4 linked regions of the Saccharomyces cerevisiae S288C genome follow. The gene in region 1 interacts genetically with each later gene. Each region holds a gene or a part of one and is shown on either strand. Other genes may lie near its edges. The genes, in order: VAC7, MAK11, EFT1 and CAK1.

Region 1 (7,685 bases):
AAAATCAATCAAACCAATACGGACAACCTTACGATACGATGAGGCAATCACCTATAATAAAGATATTAAAGAAAAAGAAAAATATATCGAGGCATACCACAAAGAAGTCAATCAACTGTTGAAGATGAAAACTTGGGACACTGACAAATATTATGACAGAAAAGAAATAGACCCTAAAAGAGTAATAAATTCAATGTTTATCTTCAACAGGAAACGTGACGGTACTCATAAAGCTAGATTTGTTGCAAGAGGTGATATTCAGCATCCTGACACTTACGACTCAGGCATGCAATCCAATACCGTACATCACTATGCATTGATGACATCCCTGTCACTTGCATTAGACAATAACTACTATATTACACAATTAGACATATCTTCGGCATATTTGTATGCAGACATCAAAGAAGAATTATACATAAGACCTCCACCACATTTAGGAATGAATGATAAGTTGATACGTTTGAAGAAATCACTTTATGGTTTGAAACAAAGTGGTGCAAACTGGTATGAAACGATCAAATCATATCTGATTGAACAATGTGATATGGAAGAAGTTCGCGGATGGTCATGCGTATTTAAGAATAGTCAAGTAACAATTTGCTTATTCGTTGATGATATGATATTGTTCAGCAAAGACTTAAATGCAAATAAGAAAATCATAACAACACTCAAGAAACAATACGATACAAAGATAATAAATCTGGGTGAAAGTGATAACGAAATTCAGTACGACATACTTGGATTAGAGATCAAATATCAAAGAAGCAAGTACATGAAATTAGGTATGGAAAAATCTTTGACAGAAAAATTACCCAAACTAAACGTTCATTTAAATCCAAAAGGAAAAAAACTTAGCGCTCCAGGTCAACCAGGTCTTTATATAGACCAGGATGAACTAGAAATAGATGAAGATGAATACAAAGAGAAGGTACATGAAATGCAAAAGTTGATTGGTCTAGCTTCATATGTTGGATATAAATTTAGATTTGACTTACTATACTACATCAACACACTTGCTCAACATATACTATTCCCCTCTAGGCAAGTTTTAGACATGACATATGAGTTAATACAATTCATGTGGGACACTAGAGATAAACAACTGATATGGCACAAAAACAAACCTACCAAGCCAGATAATAAACTAGTCGCAATAAGCGATGCTTCATATGGTAACCAACCATATTACAAGTCACAAATTGGTAACATTTTCCTACTCAACGGAAAAGTGATTGGAGGAAAGTCGACAAAGGCTTCGTTAACATGCACTTCAACTACAGAAGCAGAAATACACGCAGTCAGTGAAGCTATTCCGCTATTGAATAACCTCAGTCACCTTGTGCAAGAACTTAACAAGAAACCAATTATTAAAGGCTTACTTACTGATAGTAGATCAACGATCAGTATAATTAAGTCTACAAATGAAGAGAAATTTAGAAACAGATTTTTTGGCACAAAGGCAATGAGACTTAGAGATGAAGTATCAGGTAATAATTTATACGTATACTACATCGAGACCAAGAAGAACATTGCTGATGTGATGACAAAACCTCTTCCGATAAAAACATTTAAACTATTAACTAACAAATGGATTCATTAGATCTATTACATTATGGGTGGTATGTTGGAATAAAAATCAACTATCATCTACTAACTAGTATTTACGTTACTAGTATATTATCATATACGGTGTTAGAAGATGACGCAAATGATGAGAAATAGTCATCTAAATTAGTGGAAGCTGAAACGCAAGGATTGATAATGTAATAGGATCAATGAATATTAACATATAAAACGATGATAATAATATTTATAGAATTGTGTAGAATTACAGATTTCCTTTTATGGATTCCTAAATCCTCGAGGAGAACTTCTAGTATATTCTGTATACCTAATATTATAGCCTTTATCAACAATGGAATCCCAACAATTATCTCAACATTCACCCATTTCTCAAAACTATCACGGAATACTAATCGAAGACTAGTGACGCACGTTACGCTATAGCAACAACGTCACAAGGATAACGTTAGTAGTTTTTTGGAAGGACAATTGCAAACTATATGTAAACGAACGAAGACACACAGTCCAAAGCTGTAACAACAACCACATATATAAATGGTAGTCTTCTAGGAAACTTCACTGTAAGATTAGATACGTAGAGGTGAAAGACAAGTTGAAGTTTGGATCGGAAGTTCCATTAATATTTGGGTAAGTAAGTTCGCCGCGCGGCAGAAACGGTGAGTACTTACTCACTTTTGTTCTAACTACAACAAAAAACTGTAAAAGTGGTGTAAGGTTTACGTTCCGTTTTGGTTGCAAATCATCAGCCCTGGTTTAAGCTTTATGTCCAACATTGGTTAGCGAAGGCACCGTACTGGTCTCGATGTCGGTGAGCAGGGGCGGCGAAATTCATTCCAATCTTGGATAATATATATGTATATATCTATACACGCGGCGAGATCTTGTCCTCTAATTTCCCTTCGCTAAATCATTAAGAGGTCATTCATGAAGTTAATTCAGCACCAAAGTTGGACTGTTAGACACGAGATACACATTGCAGTCCAAATGTGCAGATTTTTCAGATAATTGTCGTCGCACAAGACTGCCCCTCCCGTCCTCAGACAGACACAAAATTAGATTTTACGTTTACATAAAGATGTACATAACTTGAAAAAACGTTAATCCCTCTTAAATTTAGACCTTGTAAGTCTTCCTGGCCACTCTTTGTGATATATTGTAGTGCAATATATTGATTCGTTCTTCTTATTTCTTTGTTCTTAGGCATTTCCGCTTTAGAAAATTCGTTGGGTGGTTTCTGCGACGGGTATCCCCTTCGATTTTGCATAATGATCTTCAATTCTACAACTAAAATCAAGTAGATACAGGAAAATATTCCATAAATTATAGTGTAAATCGCCCTGTATACACCTTATCGTTTCATCTCAGGCAAGTTAAAGCATTTGGGAAACGTGCTAGATGACAGAAGAAGATAGAAAGCTCACTGTAGAGACAGAAACAGTTGAGGCACCCGTGGCAAATAATCTTTTATTGTCGAATAACAGTAATGTAGTAGCACCTAATCCTTCTATTCCCTCTGCCTCCACATCTACCTCTCCGCTACACAGGGAAATAGTTGATGATTCTGTCGCTACTGCTAACACCACCAGCAACGTTGTACAGCATAATTTGCCCACCATAGATAACAATTTAATGGATTCCGATGCCACGTCACATAATCAAGATCATTGGCATTCAGACATAAACAGGGCAGGAACATCAATGTCAACGAGTGATATCCCAACAGATTTACATTTAGAACATATCGGCTCTGTTTCATCAACTAATAATAATAGTAACAATGCCCTAATCAACCACAACCCTCTGTCATCTCATCTTTCCAATCCGTCATCTTCATTACGAAACAAGAAGAGCTCTTTGTTGGTAGCTTCTAACCCTGCGTTTGCTTCAGATGTTGAACTCTCGAAGAAGAAACCTGCCGTCATCTCCAATAATATGCCTACAAGTAACATTGCCCTTTATCAAACAGCGAGATCGGCGAATATTCATGGTCCATCATCAACTTCCGCATCTAAAGCGTTCAGAAAGGCTTCGGCCTTCTCCAATAACACGGCACCCAGCACTAGTAATAACATCGGCTCGAATACACCTCCAGCTCCTCTTTTACCTCTACCTTCACTATCACAACAAAATAAGCCAAAAATAATAGAGAGGCCCACAATGCACGTCACTAATTCAAGAGAAATACTTTTAGGTGAAAACCTGTTAGATGATACAAAGGCGAAGAATGCTCCCGCGAATTCAACCACACACGATAATGGTCCAGTAGCAAATGATGGGCTGCGTATACCGAATCACTCGAACGCAGATGATAATGAAAATAACAACAAAATGAAGAAGAATAAAAACATTAATAGTGGGAAAAATGAACGTAATGATGACACCAGCAAAATATGCACTACATCTACTAAAACAGCGCCTTCAACCGCACCTTTGGGCAGTACAGACAATACTCAGGCTCTCACTGCTAGTGTCTCCAGCAGTAATGCTGACAATCACAATAATAACAAGAAGAAAACCAGCAGCAACAACAACGGCAATAACAGTAATAGTGCATCCAATAAAACCAATGCCGATATCAAGAATTCTAACGCCGACTTGAGCGCTTCTACCTCTAACAATAATGCAATAAATGACGACTCACATGAGAGTAATTCAGAAAAACCAACAAAGGCGGATTTTTTCGCTGCAAGGCTGGCTACAGCTGTAGGTGAAAATGAAATTAGTGATTCTGAGGAAACATTTGTTTATGAATCGGCAGCTAATTCGACTAAAAACCTAATATTTCCTGACTCCTCCAGCCAGCAGCAGCAGCAGCAACAGCAACCTCCAAAACAACAGCAACAGCAACAAAATCATGGAATAACCTCAAAGATAAGCGCCCCATTGCTAAACAATAACAAAAAATTATTAAGCCGACTGAAAAATTCAAGACATATTAGCACTGGTGCCATATTGAATAACACAATCGCGACTATAAGCACAAATCCGAACTTGAATTCTAATGTGATGCAGAACAATAACAATCTGATGTCGGGACACAATCACCTGGACGAGTTGAGCAGTATAAAACAGGAGCCACCGCATCAATTGCAGCAGCAGCAACCACCAATGGATGTACAATCGGTAGATTCGTATACCTCTGACAACCCAGACAGCAATGTTATTGCCAAGTCGCCTGATAAGAGGTCAAGCTTAGTATCCCTATCTAAAGTTTCTCCACATTTACTTTCATCCACATCAAGCAACGGTAACACAATATCGTGTCCCAATGTTGCCACAAATTCGCAGGAATTGGAACCAAACAATGATATTTCAACGAAGAAATCTCTTTCCAATTCTACTTTGAGACATTCCTCTGCTAATAGAAATTCTAATTATGGTGACAACAAAAGGCCTCTTAGAACAACAGTGTCAAAGATATTTGATTCAAACCCTAATGGAGCTCCTTTACGGAGATACTCTGGGGTACCGGATCACGTTAATCTAGAAGATTACATCGAACAGCCGCATAATTATCCAACAATGCAAAATAGTGTGAAAAAGGATGAATTTTATAACAGCAGGAACAATAAGTTTCCCCATGGTTTAAACTTTTATGGTGATAACAATGTTATTGAAGAGGAAAATAATGGTGACTCGTCTAATGTAAATCGACCGCAACACACTAACCTTCAGCATGAGTTTATTCCAGAAGATAACGAAAGTGATGAAAACGATATTCACTCCATGTTTTATTATAATCATAAGAACGATTTAGAAACAAAACCGCTAATATCCGATTATGGTGAAGATGAAGACGTAGATGATTATGATCGCCCAAATGCTACTTTCAACAGTTACTATGGCTCAGCATCCAACACGCACGAACTTCCATTACATGGAAGGATGCCTTCAAGATCAAATAATGATTACTACGATTTTATGGTTGGCAACAATACTGGCAATAACAACCAATTGAATGAATATACCCCCTTAAGAATGAAACGTGGTCAAAGACACCTATCAAGAACAAACAATAGCATAATGAATGGTAGCATCCATATGAATGGTAACGATGACGTTACCCATTCCAATATCAATAATAACGATATTGTTGGTTACTCACCGCACAACTTTTACTCAAGGAAGTCCCCATTTGTGAAAGTAAAGAATTTTCTTTATCTTGCATTTGTTATATCATCACTATTGATGACAGGATTCATTCTGGGATTTTTATTGGCCACTAATAAAGAACTACAAGATGTAGACGTGGTAGTGATGGATAATGTGATTTCAAGTTCGGACGAGTTGATCTTCGACATCACAGTAAGTGCTTTTAATCCAGGATTCTTCAGTATAAGCGTTTCCCAAGTCGATTTGGACATTTTTGCAAAAAGTTCTTACCTGAAGTGCGATTCTAATGGTGACTGTACAGTAATGGAACAGGAACGGAAAATTTTACAAATAACGACAAATCTTTCGTTAGTTGAAGAGAGTGCTAATAATGATATTAGTGGTGGGAACATAGAGACGGTATTACTAGGAACCGCTAAAAAACTAGAGACACCATTAAAGTTCCAGGGCGGCGCATTTAATAGGAACTACGATGTGTCAGTCTCGAGTGTCAAGCTTTTAAGTCCTGGGTCTCGTGAAGCCAAGCACGAAAACGACGATGATGACGATGATGATGGCGACGATGGTGACGATGAAAACAATACTAATGAAAGACAATACAAAAGCAAACCAAATGCTAGAGATGACAAAGAAGATGATACTAAAAAATGGAAGCTACTAATCAAGCATGATTACGAATTGATAGTCCGTGGAAGCATGAAGTATGAGGTGCCCTTTTTCAATACGCAAAAATCTACGGCTATTCAAAAGGATTCCATGGTCCATCCTGGTAAGAAGTGAGTGTTAAGAATGTAGCTTTTTCGTCAAAGCTGGGTATTTTTCTTTTTATAGCGCAGGAGCGGAAGGCAATTTCCAAAACAGGAATGTACTTTCCAAAAAAGGAAAATGTAGTTTGTTTTTTGATGTTTTTTTCTCTTTGACTATTTCAAATTTAGAAGTGAAAAAATACAAAAATGTTACATAGGATTCGATACAGTGTAATATATCATTATTATTACTTTTAAATAAAGCGTTTAGTAAACAAGAGTGAGGGTTATGCAACTCGTTTAGTAAACATTCTTTTTTTTTTCTTCATTTAAGTATAAGACAACAATAGTAGCGGAAGCGATAGTAATACATTTGGTAGCGATAAGTGCACATGCAATTTCACTCAGATAAGCAGCATTTGGACAGTAAAACCGACATCGATTTCAAGCCAAACTCACCGCGTTCCTTACAAAATAGGAATACCAAAAATTTATCTTTAGATATAGCAGCACTCCATCCATTAATGGAATTCTCATCGCCAAGCCAAGATGTGCCAGGTTCAGTAAAATTCCCATCGCCGACACCTTTGAATCTATTTATGAAGCCCAAACCTATTGTGTTGGAGAAATGTCCACCAAAAGTAAGTCCAAGGCCAACGCCACCATCGCTGTCGATGAGGCGAAGCGAGGCCTCTATATACACACTACCAACATCTTTGAAGAACCGAACTGTTTCTCCAAGCGTGTATACAAAATCATCCACAGTATCGTCTATCAGTAAGCTGTCATCATCATCACCGTTATCGTCATTTTCAGAAAAACCTCATCTGAATAGAGTCCATTCATTATCCGTGAAAACTAAAGACTTGAAGTTGAAGGGAATTAGAGGACGTTCTCAAACGATCTCAGGGTTAGAGACATCCACGCCAATTTCTAGTACTCGTGAAGGTACTTTAGATAGTACGGATGTCAACAGATTTTCTAACCAAAAGAATATGCAAACAACATTGATTTTCCCGGAGGAGGACTCGGATCTGAATATTGATATGGTGCATGCAGAGATTTATCAACGAACGGTTTATTTAGATGGACCATTGCTGGTACTGCCGCCTAATTTGTATCTATATTCAGAACCCAAACTAGAAGATATATTATCGTTTGATTTAGTCATTAATGTTGCCAAAGAAATACCGAACCTGGAGTTTTTAATACCGCCGGAAATGGCACATAAAATAAAAT
Region 2 (5,292 bases), on another chromosome or scaffold:
CACAACATTGCCCGTAATGGAATTGGAATTAGAATTAGAATTAGCAGATGGCTGGTGCGGAGTCATAATATTCGCTTGCAACTTCTGTATTAAAGGGCTATTTGCTAACGACTGGTAGGGACTCGTAGCCGTATTGGTTCTGTTCCAGGGTTGCTGCAAACGATCATTCTGAGCATCGGTTGGTAAACTCTGTTGTGTTCTTGCTGCAGATACGTTAGAAACAAATGGCGAGGCGGCCAATGTAGAATTATGTTGTGAATGTTGCTCCGAAGGCGACATGGGGTTTCTCATAAGTACCCTGTTTGACGATTTCAAGTTTGATGTGGCTTTTGATGACTTGTAATAATGTGTAGCCTTTCCACAAATAACGATATAACAATGACAGCAATAAAGACAAAACTTCATATCATCTTTAACGATTAAGATAAATTATTTTATATTATACATATAAACTAACTTTAGTACGCAACAATTCTGAGCTGCACGCATGTATAAGGCGTTTATTCAAGTTCTACTGATACTTTACTCTTCTTCAATTGCTTCCGCTTCTTTTTATTGAGTTTCTTCTTCTCACCAAACATTATCTTCTTTAATTCTTCGGTATCACTTTCCACCTCACTTTGGTCACCTATATCAGCTGTTTCAGCATCCCTCTTCTTCATTGTGTTGTATTTCTCAATGCTTTCATCGCATAGCGTTAAGCAATTTAGCCTTTCGCCACAGTCGTAGACTGCTACTTGTTCTTTTGTAGACATATCCCATACGACAATTTTACCATCAGAACCAATGGTGACTAGGTAGGTACCAAATTCATTCGTATAAAACTTGAAATCTTTAATACGGTTTGTGTGACCCAATAAAGAAAAAGCGGGGCTGATATCCTCCTTGTCGTCATCATCTTCCTGCTTTTCATTTTCTTCAACTTTTTCGAATAACTCCTCACAAGGATAGAAATGAACATTACCATCGCTGATACCAACAGAAAGGTATTCCTTATTATCGAATGGTAAAATATGTGTTTCAATATGCATAAGAGTTTTCCTTTGAAAGACTATTTCTTTAAAAACTTTAGCCGATCCAGTTTCATAAATAAGCACCCTATCCCTTAAACCCACGGCAAAATAATCACCTTTGGCGCCTAACCATCTAACACAAGTCCCGTTTGTATTATATTTTCTTAGTTTTAGTACAGCAGCATTTCTTAGAGTCATCAAATTCCAAAGACGTATAGAATGGTCATCACTAACACTGATGGCAATTCTATTGGTGGGGTGAATATCCACATCATTAACCCTTGCCGTGTGTCCCTTTAAAGTCCCCACTGTTTCCCAGTCCTTTACTCTCCAAACCATAATTTTGTGGTCTTCTGATGCTGATAATAACCATTTGCTATTCTTGCTCCCCTTTGAAACAGCAGCATCCTCACTGGAAGAAGCTGGATGTGAGAATTGTAGAGCAGTAATAGAGCCCTGATGACTTAACAAAGTACCCAGTTCCTTCCTCTTTTGCAAATCATAAATTCTGATGTGCTCGTCATTGGATCCAGAAACTAGGTATCTTCTTGAAACAGCCAAACATTTAATACTCAACGAATGGGCTTGAAAATGAAATATTGGCATAAAATGTGGTGTCTTTGCTGCATCATTTTCCTTTTGATTTGGGATATCTAAGGATAAACACAAAATGTTGTGCTCGTATGAGCCCACAATGATACGAAATTGGTTCTTGTCGCCTATAGCACTCATTTTTCTACACGAATTCTTGACTTGGCCCTTAGGATCTTTTCGAGATGAGGTACCATGAGTTTTCAATTTTTCATGTTCTAAAAAATTTTCGGCCTTGATCTTGAACTTTATAATTCTAAGCAAAAAAAAAATGAAGACAGTATAAGTAGTATTCAGTAACATAAAGAAGATAAAATTCAAAAATGCAAAATAATAAAAAATGAATCTATATAGTGTAAGGATTATGTAGCTAGAAAAATGTCTTTAATTGACTCGCATGTCGTTTAGAATGTTATTGTTTTGAAACTTCGATAACTGCATTTTAAAAGAGGTTTTCATCCTTTCGTTGCCTAGTAGTACCTTGGCTAAACCAATTCTTAAATATTCCTGAACAATTTTGGATAAATTATGAAACATATCATCATCTTTCCCCAAATTCGATAATGTGAAACATAATAAGAGTACTAAAGTTAAGGGGATCCAAAAGAATAGGAGCATCTTATCATTCTGAAAGTTTTGCTTCTTGGAAAAGATTGTGTTGAACCCGACCTGTAAAGCTTCTAATTCATCGTCTTCAGAAGAAGTTTGAGAATCATCCACGGTCATTTGGGCAGAATTATCTGGCCCAATCTCCACAGATTTGCTACCAAGTTCCCAGTTTTTGGGTTTTTTTGGGAACAAGTCTTCATACTTTGGGAGCTCGTCATTTAAACGAGTTAGCATTCTGTTCCATAAAGATCCGTCAGGCTCTATGCTAGTCTTAGTAGTTTTTGGTATTTCATTTGGCTTTGAAGAGAAGTCCTTGATTTTGTGGGTGTTAAAGAACTCCAAAGCAATCTCATCTGAAGATGATTCACAATCACTTATGTCATAACCTGAATCCGAATCTAGGATTGAGAATGACGTATTGTCATTACAGTTGGATTGTTCGGGGGCAAGGGCAGCGGAATCCGCCAATAAATATTTTCTTTCTTGGACATAGTCATGATCAGCATCGTCATCATCAAATAAACTTGAGTTGAAACTTGACTGGGATACATTTCTCTCAAACGGTTGAGTATCACTGGATCCTGTTGTATTCTTCGTTAATCTAGTCAGAATGTCGTCAAACAGACTGGTTTCATAATTAGAATATCTGGTCTTGTTGACAGTATAATTCATCAGGAAGAACTGTTTAGCGATAAAGCCGTTTCTGGTTTTCTTCATAATATTAACGTTGCATTCTAACAATAGTCTTATAATTCTCAAGTCACCATTAATACACGCCATATGTAGCGGAGTAAAACCAAATAAATCTTGGTCGTTCAAATGCGACCCATATTTGATTAGTAATGAGACAAGACTATACCAGTTATTGAATGCTGCCAGATGTAATAGAGTTCTACCCCTAACGTCACACATGGAAAGATTGACGGTAGAGAGATTATTATTTCTCTTAAATGACTTAATAACTTCAGTGATCAATTGTTCATCGTTTATATTTCGCATCATATTCGTGTACGAATTTAAAGAGCTATTCTGTGAGTGTAATCCTGCGTTATTATTAGATGGAGATGAATCACTGCCAACAATCCTTTTAGCAATATTTCTTGCATCTTCCAGTTTACCGTTCATTTTCAGCCCCACAATTTGCAGAGCCAATTCAATTAGTTGCCTATCAGTATCATCAACATAAGTAAAGATTGCTTTCTCACCGGTATACTTGTTTAAGTGCAGAATGTCATTGGTACTATTGCTGGTGGAAACACTACTATTGCTATTATTTCTCATAGACGTTTCACTTGGGTCGACTATGGTTACCAAAACCGGTCCAGGTTTAGATGAAGGCGGTAAATAAGTCACCATCGTAGATTCATTCCAGCATTGGCTGGACAATGCTATATTTTCGCCAAACTTGATGATTAAGCCCTGCTTAAACTTTGAGCCAAGTAGAGTCACTTCTATACCTCCGTTGATGGAACCTTGTGCGGGGATGACACGCTGAATAGAAGGCTTGTTATTTAGCGCCACGGGGACACTATTATGGTTCGATATATCTTTGGAAGAATCGATGAATTTCTGGGGAAGACGGGAAAACGTATTAGGCGTAGACATAAAAGGCTCGTTTACCGAACGCTGCCTCTTGCCAGTGTGTCTCGCAGAGGCCGCACTGAAATCACTAGTTAATGTAGTAAGAGCGGGATTAGATGAACTATTAAAACCTGTGGACGACCAAGAGTCTAGTGAACGATGTAAATTGTTGTCGTTGTTATTAGAAAAATGAATATCTGAAAAAGAATGGTTGCTGTCCTCACTGGAGGAATTTGGTGATGGAAAGTGTCTGTTGTTGTTCATCATTGCGGTATTAGTCTTAATGTTGTTTTTGTTATCATTATCATTGTTGTTGTTATTACAATTGCTATCAAGCATACAGTTCGTAGAAATGACAAAATTTTTACTGTTAGAAGGCAGGGGGAATTCGGATGGGAAGTTTAAGTCACTTTGCGGCGATGAAAAGGATCTAGTGTCATTTGTCATTGGCGAAACCTGGGCATTGCTGGTGCTGGTTGGAGTTGTGGTATTGCTGGCATTTTTCTTGTCCATGATCATTATGGGATCTGTTATAGTTTTCGCCAAGATATCGCCGTTATGGTCCCTTAGAAGGAACAAAACTACAAACCCGTTAGTTGCCTTGTGGTGTCTGCAGTAACAGACGATTCTCGTCGGTAAGTCGAAATTGATACAGTTAGAGTTACCACTCAAACCGTTATTACTAATGATGAAAAGTTGTTTACTATTGAATATGATTGCTCTTTTGTTTTCGTTATTTTGCCAGATGGAGTTGTCGTTCAACCCAGACTTTCTTCTCGACGCTCTTCTTTTTTCCCTGTTGATACATCTATTACAAACATAGGTCTGCTTGAAGTTGTTGCTATTGTTGTTAGATGCACACAAAAGAAAGGCGTCCAAGAAAAGAGTCCTTTCGTTGATGTCCCTATTGGGTATTGTCAAGTTGGTGGGATCGTCCGAGCTGGTGAAAAACTTGTCCTTCGCTATACAATCAGAGGGCAGATGAATAAAGAAGTTTTTTCTTGCATGTGCGTTTCTAATCCGAAAACTCAGCTTCATCTGAGTTTCCACCCTAGAAACCTTCGGCAACCCAATAATTTCTAGAGACAATGGAAGGGACTGCGGGTTAATGTTGATAAAATCCAGTGGATTCGCGTATGGCGTCCTCAGAGGTAGCTTTCTGCCAAATTGAACGTGTCGATCAAGCAATCCTTGCAAAGATGCGATGTCATCCCTGAGCTCCCCTTCATCTTCCTTACCTGGTGTAGTAGTACCTGCTGTTATCATTTTCTCTTGGTTCAGACTCAATAAACCAGGGTCTTGCAGAGAGGACCCAGAGTTGAGCAGAGCAATATCCAGTAATTCTGATTCTAGTAAATCCAAGTCCGGAGAGCCATCGTTGTGCTGTATGTTGGCGCTATAGCTGTGGAGCATCGAGGAAACGTTTCCTGTGCCACTCATCATTTTCAGTGGTGTACTACTGTTGTGATTAGTCGTTTAGAGGATATCTAGAGTATAA
Region 3 (6,613 bases), on another chromosome or scaffold:
CTTATATATTCTTTAACCAAACAATGGAAGTTACAGAAAATAGGAACTGACCAACCAGAGCGGCCCGTGTCATGCCCCCCCTTGCCGAGATGCGGACCGAGATTGCTGAAAGAAGCGCCGAGTATCGCAAAAGGCCCCTGGCGGGGCAACGACAATTTCTTCGCCGAACCTCGGAATCGACTAGCAGATCACAGTGCTTAGGAAGCTAAGGCTGCGTTCTAGAAGGGCTAGTGAGTCTTCTCAACCATGACTGTCGTTGTTTGTGTTTGGTTTTATGTTCACCTCTAGGAACTCTTTCTGTAGGGTCTTTGATGCCAGTATTGCTGCTGTTTCCAACGTTCCCAAGTAATTTACTAAGTCTGGGAGAAAGGGACTCTGCACTCAATGTTCTACCTTTAAAGGATCTCGGTACAGAAAGCCCATTGTTATCAAAATCTATTGGGCTAGGAAACAGTGCATGATGATGATGATGATGATGATGTATGGTAAAATTGTTGGAGTCAGAAAGTGCACGTGACCTTGGAAGCATATGGTCATCTATTGAAGGGTGCACAAAATCTTCTTCATCGGAGTCAATAGCCATTTCAGGAACGGTAATGTTGTTAAACTTTGCTACTGTTCCTGCATGCGGCATGGTGTCCTTATTCGCTTTTTCCGTATTCGGTATTATATCTGAAGCGTGTAGTATGAGGAATTCGATGACAGTTCTGGAAGCCTCATACTCTTTCGGGCACATTTCATCCTTGGGATGAGACAAAAGTGAGGGTTGTACGATGGCCGCTAAATTGCTTGCTGACATTAAATTCTTCTTTTCATTTCTTGCAAATAAATTCAAGAGCGCGGCTAAATAAAGTATTAAATGGCGATTTTGTTGTGGTAAGAGCATATAAATATCTTCGTAGTCCTTAATGATTTGTTCTTTGTGCTCATTTATTTTTGGGTTTTCTAATATTGGATTTCTAAAAATGTCGTATAATGCTAGGGGAACCAAAGGCTCACTTAATGAGTTCAAATATCTTTTTAATAAAGTTGCAATGTCATGAACATTGAAATCACACCATCCTTCAAATTTACGACCATAATCGGGCGGTTTAGAGAAAACAGCTTGTAGCTCTCTAACACGTTTATTGCTTCCCGCAATACGGAAAATTCCTGTTGTGTCTAATGCATTCTCTTTTAGGTATTTCCCACTTTTTGCTATTACCACCGGTATGGAACCAATTTCATTTGTACTTTTTTGGATAATTACTTCCTCTTGAGCAACTTTCAGTGATTCCTCGAGTGAGACGCCAAATACTTTACCATCAAATTCGTTTTGCAAATTAGTAAAGGTGTCCCTATCCTTCTTGCCCTCAACAGAAGACATTGAAGATGACCTATTCTGTGGAGAACCCTCTTCAGAAGAAGGTGTAGAAAGTAGATTCATGTTAAACATTCTATTTTATGTTGTGTAATAAGATATGTCCAGAAATATACTATGGTTATTTATGTACTCTTTCCTGTGTACGCGTTTCGATTATTTTGCAGGTTATATTATATACTGCTATCACATGCTAAAACAAGAGTATCTAACAATGGGAACACAAAGCAAGTATTGATTTACTCATTCCAGTTGTGTAATTTTCTTCTAAAGATGTACTTAAATAAGAAGAAAACAATGATTGTCTTCGACCTCAACGCCTCGAACCAACGCTTTCCCCAATAGCGAGAGAAAGTAAGTAACCGGAAAATTAATTACCTCTTTCTTTCACCTGCAGGGGCTGAGGTGCTTCTGTTAGTGCGCCTCTAGAAGTATCGGCCATAATGAGATATATACTTTGGTTGCCCCTCCGGTTTTGAGGGAGTTTTAGCCCGATGAGGCTGGTCCTCCCCTCCAAGGATTTTTTGTATTTCCTATTTCGCTCTAATTATAGAAGCACCAACATACGGCGGGGTATAAACCAAACAATAGCCGCGGAAGCCCAATCTTCTTCTCCTTTTTTCGTAAACGGATAAAAAGCTATGACCAAGAGCCAGGTAAGTTATACGTAATACTACCTCAGGACCGATGTCATTAATGAATTATAATGGTTTTTAATAGTTTTTTCCATAGTATATCTAACGGGGTGGTGATACGTCGTAATAGTCAAGAAGTTGCCGTTCCTCCCCCTCTACAAAGGGGGCGGTAATACGAAAAGGTCCATTTTTATGATGGGTTCGATTGTAAACATTCGGAATATAACTATATGACAAAAATGTGTAAGAAAATAATATATAAGTCTATTACCATACTATTTTTATTACGACAAAATTTTAAAGCAGAGAATAAATGAAAAAGATCATAAGGCGGTAAGGTTTGCTCTTACAGAACCACCTTTTCTCATTTAGACTTCTTACAATTTGTCGTAATATTCTTGCCAGCCTGGAACTTCTTCCTTCATACCGTGTCTCTTACGAGCAGCAAGAACAATTTCACCAGCCTTAGAGGTTGGGTCCAATGGGTCAGAACCTAAAGTGGACCAATGGTCGAAAACCATTTGTGGGAAAGCTTGACCACCGGTAGCTTGTCTCAATTCACCAGTGAAACCGAAAGATTCGTTAACTGGCAAGTAGGCCTTGACGGTAAACAATGGAGTACCTGGTCTTTGTTCTTCAGAAACGACTTGACCTCTCTTCTTGTTTAAGACGGAGTAGATACCACCGACGGCTTGTTCTGGACATTGAATTTCGACCAAGAAAACTGGTTCTTGGATCTTTGGATCAGCCAACAAGAAACCGGCGTAAGTAGCTCTTCTCATGGTTGGGATGATTTGACCACCACCTCTGTGGATAGCATCGGCATGTAAAGTAACATCCAAAATGTTAACTCTGACAGATCTCATTTCTTCACCGAAAATTGGACCTTCCTTGGTAGCCCATTGGAAAGCAGCAACAACGGAATCCTTGATTTCGTGCAAGTATTGGACAGCCTTAGTTTGGTCAATAACCAAGTTTGGACCGTTACCGTCTGGACCGAAACACCAGATCTTTCTGGCATCGGTGACATCCCAACCGTAGTCGTCAGCCATGATTCTAGCTCTGGCCTTGAAATCATCTCTTGGGTTGATGATACCGTTTTCAATAGCCAAAGAGACTTCTTCGTCAATTGGTTCAGCCTTCAAGTAGATTCTGTTATGCTTGTTTGGAGACTTGGACAAAGCAGTTTGAGAAGATTCACTTTCAACAGTTTCTCTGTAAGCGACAACTGGTGGGGAGATCTTCAATGGAACACCAGCGTGGTCGTGTTCCAAATCTTGCAAACAAATTTCCAAATGCAATTCACCGGTACCAGCAACGATATGTTCACCGGATTCAGACATATAGGTCAAGACACATGGATCAGACTTGGACAATCTCTTCAAACCTTCGACCAATTTTGGTAAGTCGTTAGCGTTCTTGACTTCGACAGCGACTTGCACAACTGGAGAGACAGAGAATTTCATGACCTTCATGTTGTGAGCAGTTTCACTGGTGGTCAAAGTACCAGTCTTCAACAAGAATTGATCGATACCGACTAAACCGATAATGTTACCGGCTGGACAGTCATCGATTGGTTCGACAAATCTACCCATCATCAAAACAACTCTTTGAATGGCCTTGATGAACAAATCGTCCTTCTTACCTGGAACGTAGTTTGGACCTTGGATTCTGACCTTTTGACCGGACTTAACAGTACCGGCAAAAACTCTACCGAAGGCGTAGAATCTACCCTTATCAGAGGTTGGCACCATCTTGGAGACGTACAACATCAAATCAGCCTTTGGATCACAGTTCTTGATAGCAATACAGTTGGCATCGTCAGCTGGACCTTCGTATAATTGTTCAGCTCTGTAGGCTTGAGCAGTGACTGGAGATGGCAAGTGCAAGACAATCATTTCCAATAAGGCATCGGCAGCTGGCAAGAACTTTCTCATAACAACCTTCAACAAGGCCTTACCTTCCAAGTCCTTTTCGTCACCCTTCAAGACAATTTCCAACTTTTCTAGCAAAACTGGAATTTCGTCTTTCTTGAAGTTCATGATAGCAGTGAATAATCTGAAGATTGGGTCCAAGATGAACATGTTGAAAGCTCTTTCCAATGGCTTACCTTCAGCATCAGTGTCCTTGTTGGTCCACTTCTTGGTCTTTGGGTTGAAGAAAGAGTCACCCCATAATCTGTCCATCATCTTGGCCTTGTCGACACCGAATTTCTTAGCATATCTGGTGGCGAATTGACGGATAGTGAAAGCCCAACCGTGCAAACCGGAACCGAAGGCAACGGTACCTCTGGCTGGGTAAACTTGGACATCACCCAAAACTTCATCGGCGTAGGTGGAAACGATGACGTTAACGGATTCAACAGTTCTGGCAAAGGTTTGGTATAAATCTTCCTTAGAAACTTGCAATTCCAACAAAGCTCTGTCGACCTTGTTGATAACAACAACAGGCTTGATTCTTTCACCCAAAGCTTGTCTCAAAACAGTTTCGGTTTGGACACAGACACCTTCAATGGTGTCGACGACAACCAAAGCACCGTCAGTGACACGTAAAGCGGCAGTAACTTCAGAGGAGAAGTCAACGTGACCTGGAGAGTCGATCAAGTTGATCAAGAAGGAGTTACCGTCGGTCTTTTGCTTGATTTCCTTGACATCTTCGTCAGACATTTCAGAGTATAGAGAAATAGCGGTAGACTTGATAGTGATACCTCTTTCTTGTTCATCCTTTCTGGTATCGGTGAAACGAGCTTCACCAGCCTTAGCAGCGGAAATAATACCGGCTCTTTGGACCAAGGAATCGGTCAAAGTGGACTTACCATGATCGACGTGAGCAATAACGGACATGTTACGCACATTGGTAACTTTGTCCATTAAAGAACGCATTTGGTCAACAGTGAAAGCAACCATTTTTATCTGTTATTAAAAATTCTTGGGTGCGTAGGTCTGGCTTTCTGGCAAATGGGGTTAAGTAAAAAAACCAGTGAAGCGTTTAATACAACAGTAGTATGCAATTGAGATTAATTAAAGGAAGGCTCATGGCAAAAAAAAATTTTCTAGGTGAGATTTGAAAAAAAATTTTAAAAGTGCAACACGGAAGTTTACCCGGGATTAATATCAACTAAAGGAAAAAGATCACCTTGTTCAAAGGTATGAATTTTCTACTTTATATACGTATTATTTAGTGGACATGCCCAAAAGTGAAGCAGCATGGCGCGCATTCAGTGATGTAGTGTCTGAGTCCTGAGAGTTGTACCCATCGTCTTCAGTGAATAGTTCATCATCAAATTCGGTATGAGCGATCTTGTTGATGGGGATTTGACTTTTGCGGTTGCTCTCTCCCGTCCAACTGTCCCCTTTAAGGGTTTGAGAAGTATCGGAGTTGTTGTTTGAGACAGCATGGCGTCCTAGACGTGACAAACCTCCGTTTTCATCAGCTTTTCTGATATCAGAACGTACTCGTTCTAGTAACGTCAGCTTCTTTCTTTCATACTCTATCTTTCTTAGTGTAAATTCTTTGATCGAGCTTCTTATCCATTCTTCATACCAGCTAATCCACTGTTTTCTCTCGATAATCATGTTGGACGTGATTCGTTGAAGCTTAAGGGTCAAAACTTGTTCGTTTTTAGCTGCAGCTTTCAACTGACGTAGTGCTTCATCGATTTTCATAGGGTTAATATCTCTTCTTGACCGGAACCTGCGTGCTTGTTCCTGTTTCGCCTTTGAATTCTGCTGTGCCTGTACTAGATTTCGCATGATAAAATGCCTGTTGGTCAATGCTTCCTTCACGGCATAAGCATCTCTGACAATCCACTCTAAACCATCGTACAATGTCGCCATGTCCATGGTTGCTATAATGCTATCAATATCACCCACAGCAGTCAATATTTTACCGTATCTTCTGTAAAGTTTATTGTGCTCATCTAGATTAACGAAATCCTGGCCGAAGGCATTTTCTTCTTGAACCATCATCTTGCGATTTCTGGAAACTCTTAGCAGTTTTTCTTGCAAGCTCTGAGAAACAACATATATAGACTTGACTAATGGCCGGAATTCTGCTAATTCTGTGATTTCATCATATGGAGGTGCTAATTGTTTCAATGTTTTTCTTTTCAACCCAGATGCGAGTGATTTGGACTTGTTGATGGGTGTGTACGTATTAAAGTCACTTTCAATGAAAAAGGCCACTTCTTCATTCCGAATAATTAAGGGGTCTTGCGATAGCCTGTTAAACCAAAGTTGGAAATTTCGCGTTACTTTCATCCTATCTTCTTCGCTATTAATTCCGAATGTAGTATACGCAGAGGGAAGAGTAGGAACAAAAGATTCCTGAATGGCAACATTCAGATATTTGAACAATTGGTGGAATTCTTCGTATGATTTTTTGACATTCTTGTATTGTTGTTTGCGAAATGTTGGCAAATTTGTGGAGCAATCAAATATAATAGTCGGATTCTCTTTCTTACCGGTTGCAGATCCAAATCGTTCCAATCCTGTTACTTTTGCAAGTAGAGTGTATTTTTTTTTCTCATCACTTCTTTCAGGAAGTATAACACGTTCTGATGGTTGAGATGGTTGTTGGTTTTCATTGTGTTCGTTTGAAGTTTTTGATCGTGTTGCGT
Region 4 (5,392 bases), on another chromosome or scaffold:
TCCTTTTTTCTCTCTGGGAAGGGAAGATTATCTTGAATTGGCAAAGTAAAGAAATAAAGAGAAAATTTAGCAAATGACATAGAACAAGCCAATTAACAAAATACGATGCCATTAAGGTCATTATTTCATACTAATCAGAGTAGCCACGACAAAGACGCGTTGACAAGGGGAGGTTATAACGCATATCTGGAATCACTTTCTCGTTGTGACAGTGGAAAGGCAGAAGAACAAAAAGGAAAAGTTATATCAAAGTTATTAGAGAAAAAAGATGTCCGAGCTTTGAGGTACATAGGTTTAGGGCCTCTGGGGTTTGTAAACAACTCATTAAGAAAAGATTGTTGGTATGAATTATTGGCGTCCCAGTTGCTTATTGATGATGCAACAGAGTACATTACACCAGTGGAAAAACATAAAGATGAAGGTCAGGTGATATTGGATGCAGAAAGGTCTTTTGGTGGAATTGTCGACAAAAACTTGAAACTGCAATTGAGAAAACTACTGGTGGAGTTAATTACTCGGGTATTGAGAAAGTACCCAACGTTGAACTATTACCAAGGTTATCATGATATTGTGTCTGTTTTCATCATGTGTTTTAGTTGGAATGTCACAAAAGAGAACGGACTGGAACTAGAAAATCTCTCATTGCAAGAAGAAATTGATATGGAAAGGCTGTTTTATTGCATCGAAGCATTTACCCTATTATATCTGAGGGATTTCATGATGAACTCACTAGATTTTTCATTTGAGCAATTGAGAGTAATCTCTTCATTGATAAAGGAATCAAACATGAAATTCTATAATCTATTCAAATTTGACGAAAATGAGCCCCTTTTCGCTATTGGGTCAATATTGACAATCTTTGCACATAATTTGAAACCTATAGATAGCGGTGACAACAATCTTCATAAAATTCTTTTCCAGATATTTGACATGACAATATCGATGCAATCTATGCGTTTACCTTTGATCATATACAAGAACCTGCTATTGCAAAATGCGTCTGAAATTTCGAAGCAAATAGAAGCTAATTCTGATTTCTTCGAGAACGATTTTGACCTGCGCCATGGTGCTATACAAACAGTTTTACAGAAAAAACTGTATGATGAGGCGCTTTGGGAAGAAGTCTTGCAAATAACTAGAAAAGATGCGACTACTGCCAGCAAGAAGGCTTTGAAACGGGTGAGTCTTAATAAATATAGTGCATTACTCAATACAGCATGTGGAAAGCCAGGATGCTTCGATATGAGCACCATTATCTTCTATTTGAGCGAACAAACAAAGATGAACGAGCATTACAAGGAAGAAAAGTATCATGGTGTCGCCGCCAGATCCAAGACAAGGGCGTTGGTCCAAAGACTTGGCCATTTTTTACCCTCCAAATATAACAGGTGGAGCAAAATTTCTTTACTTATCGGGATTGTAGCTATCCTGTACCAATTACGGACTACAAGGTCGTTGAGTTTAGTACTCAATCTACGTTACATGATCTCCACAAAGTTGAAAGACTTATCACATATAAATATAAATTTGCACCACGTTAGTCACATCTGGGTGGATCCGATTAGGGACATTTTGAAACTGGGGCATCCAACTAGATAGCATACAATATACCTTATATACCCATGACATAGAAACAAACTCATATGTAAGGTATTATTATAAAGTGCTTCTTTAAAATTCGCTGCGGAAATTTCTTCGAGGATGACTCAAATAAGAAAAAACGAAAATTCTGAAAGAGAGATTTTTAGTATGGAGAAAACCAGTACTCCTGCATAAGATATCAAGATATTAGATAACTCTCAAGATGGTTTCCCAATTTGCTATTGAGGTGCGTAACCTAACGTACAAATTCAAAGAAAGCTCCGATCCGTCAGTTGTTGATATCAATCTTCAAATCCCATGGAATACAAGATCTTTAGTTGTGGGTGCCAATGGTGCTGGTAAATCCACCCTTTTGAAATTACTAAGCGGTAAGCATCTTTGCCTTGATGGAAAAATCCTGGTCAATGGTCTTGATCCATTCAGTCCATTATCTATGAATCAAGTGGACGATGATGAAAGTGTTGAAGATTCGACGAACTACCAAACGACCACTTATCTAGGTACGGAATGGTGCCATATGAGTATCATTAATAGGGATATCGGCGTCTTGGAACTATTAAAAAGTATTGGATTCGATCATTTTAGGGAAAGAGGTGAAAGATTGGTTAGAATCCTGGACATCGATGTACGTTGGAGAATGCACAGGTTAAGTGATGGACAAAAGAGAAGAGTTCAGTTAGCCATGGGGCTCTTGAAACCTTGGAGAGTTTTACTACTTGATGAGGTCACTGTGGATCTCGATGTTATTGCCAGAGCAAGACTTCTGGAGTTTTTAAAGTGGGAGACCGAAACCAGAAGATGCTCAGTGGTCTACGCTACACATATTTTTGACGGCTTGGCCAAATGGCCTAACCAAGTATACCATATGAAATCAGGTAAGATTGTGGATAATTTAGATTATCAGAAAGACGTAGAGTTCTCTGAAGTGGTCAATGCTAAAGTTAATGGACAAGTGGCCTTTGAAAATGACAACAATAAGGTTGTTATTAGTAAAGTGAATAGTTTGCATCCATTAGCACTAGAATGGTTGAAACGTGATAATCAAATTCCTGACAAAGAGATTGGTATATAACTGAGTATATATAACTGCAAAGACCCCCTGTATAGAAAATATGTATCTTAGTGGAAAATGTGATTTGACTATTTAAGTTATAGAAGTAGTTTGTGATCCTAAAAAAAGGAAAACGACAGAAGTCTCATAGAAGCAAAGAGGCCAGATGAAGAAGAGAGGCAACAAAATTCACGCCCATCTTAATGAAACTGGATAGTATAGACATTACACACTGTCAGTTGGTCAAATCTACTAGAACTGCTAGGATTTATAGGTCGGATACATATGCCATTAAATGTCTAGCACTAGATTTCGATATCCCGCCACATAACGCCAAATTCGAAGTATCGATATTAAACAAACTGGGCAACAAATGTAAGCACATCTTACCTCTTCTAGAGTCTAAGGCTACCGATAATAATGACCTATTGTTGTTGTTTCCCTTTGAAGAGATGAACCTTTATGAGTTCATGCAAATGCACTATAAAAGAGATAGAAGAAAAAAAAATCCCTATTACGATTTGCTAAATCCCAGTATCCCAATTGTTGCGGACCCCCCCGTTCAGAAATATACTAATCAATTGGACGTCAATCGGTATTCTTTGTCCTTTTTCCGGCAAATGGTTGAAGGGATTGCATTCTTACATGAGAACAAGATCATTCACCGCGACATCAAACCGCAAAATATCATGCTAACAAACAATACCAGCACCGTATCCCCAAAGTTGTACATAATTGATTTTGGCATCTCTTATGACATGGCAAATAACTCACAAACAAGTGCGGAACCCATGGATAGCAAGGTGACGGATATAAGCACAGGAATTTACAAGGCCCCAGAAGTGCTTTTTGGAGTAAAATGCTATGATGGTGGCGTGGACGTGTGGTCGTTGTTGATAATTATTTCTCAGTGGTTCCAGAGAGAAACAAGCCGTATGGGGCACGTTCCGGCCATGATTGATGACGGCAGCGACGACATGAACTCAGATGGAAGCGATTTCAGACTGATTTGCTCAATATTCGAAAAGTTGGGCATACCGTCCATTCAGAAATGGGAAGAGGTTGCGCAACACGGCTCGGTTGATGCATTTGTTGGTATGTTTGGTGCAGATGGCGATGGCAAGTATGTACTGGACCAGGAGAAAGATGTACAGATTAGCATTGTTGAGAGGAATATGCCTCGACTGGACGAGATTGCGGATGTCAAAGTCAAGCAGAAGTTCATTAATTGTATCCTGGGGATGGTTTCATTTTCACCAAACGAAAGATGGAGCTGTCAAAGAATCTTGCAAGAATTAGAAAAGCCATAATAAGAAGAATATATAGGTACATATATATATATATATATATATATGAAATGAAAAGTACGAGGGTAATCACTTTTTCCTCTGAAGAGCTAGTTTTATTAAGTCGAAGCAGTTCTTCATGTACGGTAAATTCTTGTTGCAAGCGGTCACACCCATATGTCCAATACGGATATACTTGGGTCCGATGTCCTTGTGAATACCTCCGGCAATGACTACACCGTGTGACTTTAAAAAAGCAATGACATCAGGAGGATCTGCTACGTATACGGCTGTCAACCCGTGCGCAGACATGTTAGAAGGATACCTACTGACGGATGTCAATTGCAAGCCATTAACCAAACTGTCTTTAAACCAATCACTCATTTCACGGTGCAAATCCCATCTCTTATGCAACCCCTCTTCGAGAATTTCTTTCAAGGCTACATCAAGGCTATTAATTAGTTGTACGGGTGGGGTTGCAAAATAAGCTCCTTTACCAGCCTCATAATTTTCCATTATTGGTGTCCATCTTCTCAACGAGGAAAAATACCCATGTACATGACCATTTTTGCTGTCGTTGAGTGCATAATCCATGAATCTGCTACTGCATAGCGAGATAGAAAGACCCGCTGGAGCGCCAATAGCCTTTTGCGAAGCAGTCAAGGCGAAATCCACCCCCCATTCATCAAATTCAAACTCTTCGCATCCAATCGAGCATACAGCATCGACTACGAAGAACGTTTCCGGCGAAGTCTGCTTAATCGCTTGCGAAATGGCTTTCAGATCGGACAGCACTGCCGTTGAAGTGTCAACGTGCGTAACCGTGACAGCCCCATAGCTATTTTGCGACAACTTTTCAGTAATCAGTTCTAAGGGAACTGATTCGCCTATCTTGAGGGGCCTAACAACATCTACTTGCGCACCGTAGCTACGCAGACAGTCAGCAAACCTGTCAGAAAATGTCCCAGTGGATACGACCAGCACGTTCTTGTTGGGGGCCTTCGAAAGAATAAAGTTCGAGGCAAATATGTCCCACCCCAACGTACCAGAGCCGGCAAGCACAAAAGGCTGAGACTTCGAGGCAGCAGCGGATTTGAAGACAGCTCTTGTGTTCTTTAGCACCCTTTGAAAAATAGAGACGAACTCAGGAGAGGTGTGGCCCAAAGAGGGAACGTCCAGGGCCTTCTGGACTGCTCCGCTTAGGATAATGGGGCCTGGGATCAGCAGCGTATCTACAGATTTAGTCATCGTTGGTGTATTTAGGCTATGGAAAAAGAATTATATGAGCTTTCGTCTTCAACCAGTGCGATTATATAAAGACTGCGGAACAGAACATTCTTGGCCACTCCTCGAGGAGGACTACAGAGAGCCGTGAGAGTGAGAGTGATATGATGACTAAGGTCCTTTCGAAGGTATTTGATATAGTTATCACTCATTGGCCCGGAGTTAGGGG

The links.
Region 2: mutations in VAC7 (region 1) and MAK11 together harm fitness less than expected from each alone (positive genetic interaction), as found in Saccharomyces cerevisiae (one large-scale study listed by BioGRID).
Region 3: mutations in VAC7 (region 1) and EFT1 together harm fitness more than expected from each alone (negative genetic interaction), as found in Saccharomyces cerevisiae (one large-scale study listed by BioGRID).
Region 4: mutations in VAC7 (region 1) and CAK1 together harm fitness more than expected from each alone (negative genetic interaction), as found in Saccharomyces cerevisiae (one large-scale study listed by BioGRID).

Annotation. Positions count from the first base shown.
Region 1 is NC_001146.8:523,104-530,788, forward strand, and holds VAC7 (Vac7p), read left to right. Parts: upstream 1-2,982; coding exon 2,983-6,480; downstream 6,481-7,685. Other genes in the region: tyrosine/serine/threonine protein phosphatase MSG5, read left to right, coding at 6,839-7,685. UniProt on the Saccharomyces cerevisiae protein: The PI(3,5)P2 regulatory complex regulates both the synthesis and turnover of phosphatidylinositol 3,5-bisphosphate (PtdIns(3,5)P2). Positively regulates FAB1 kinase activity.
Region 2 is NC_001143.9:396,844-402,135, forward strand, and holds MAK11 (Mak11p), read right to left. Parts: upstream 1,908-5,292; coding exon 501-1,907; downstream 1-500. Other genes in the region: anaphase promoting complex subunit CDC16, read right to left, coding at 1-405; SPT23 (Spt23p), read right to left, coding at 1,989-5,237.
Region 3 is NC_001147.6:573,386-579,998, reverse strand, and holds EFT1 (elongation factor 2), read right to left. Parts: upstream 4,902-6,613; coding exon 2,373-4,901; downstream 1-2,372. Other genes in the region: GTPase-activating protein BAG7, read right to left, coding at 206-1,435; retromer subunit VPS17, read right to left, coding at 5,169-6,613. UniProt on the Saccharomyces cerevisiae protein: Catalyzes the GTP-dependent ribosomal translocation step during translation elongation.
Region 4 is NC_001138.5:76,626-82,017, reverse strand, and holds CAK1 (cyclin-dependent protein kinase-activating kinase CAK1), read left to right. Parts: upstream 1-2,856; coding exon 2,857-3,963; downstream 3,964-5,392. Other genes in the region: GTPase-activating protein GYP8, read left to right, coding at 106-1,599; putative ATP-binding cassette family ATPase CAF16, read left to right, coding at 1,805-2,674; AGX1 (alanine--glyoxylate transaminase), read right to left, coding at 4,030-5,187.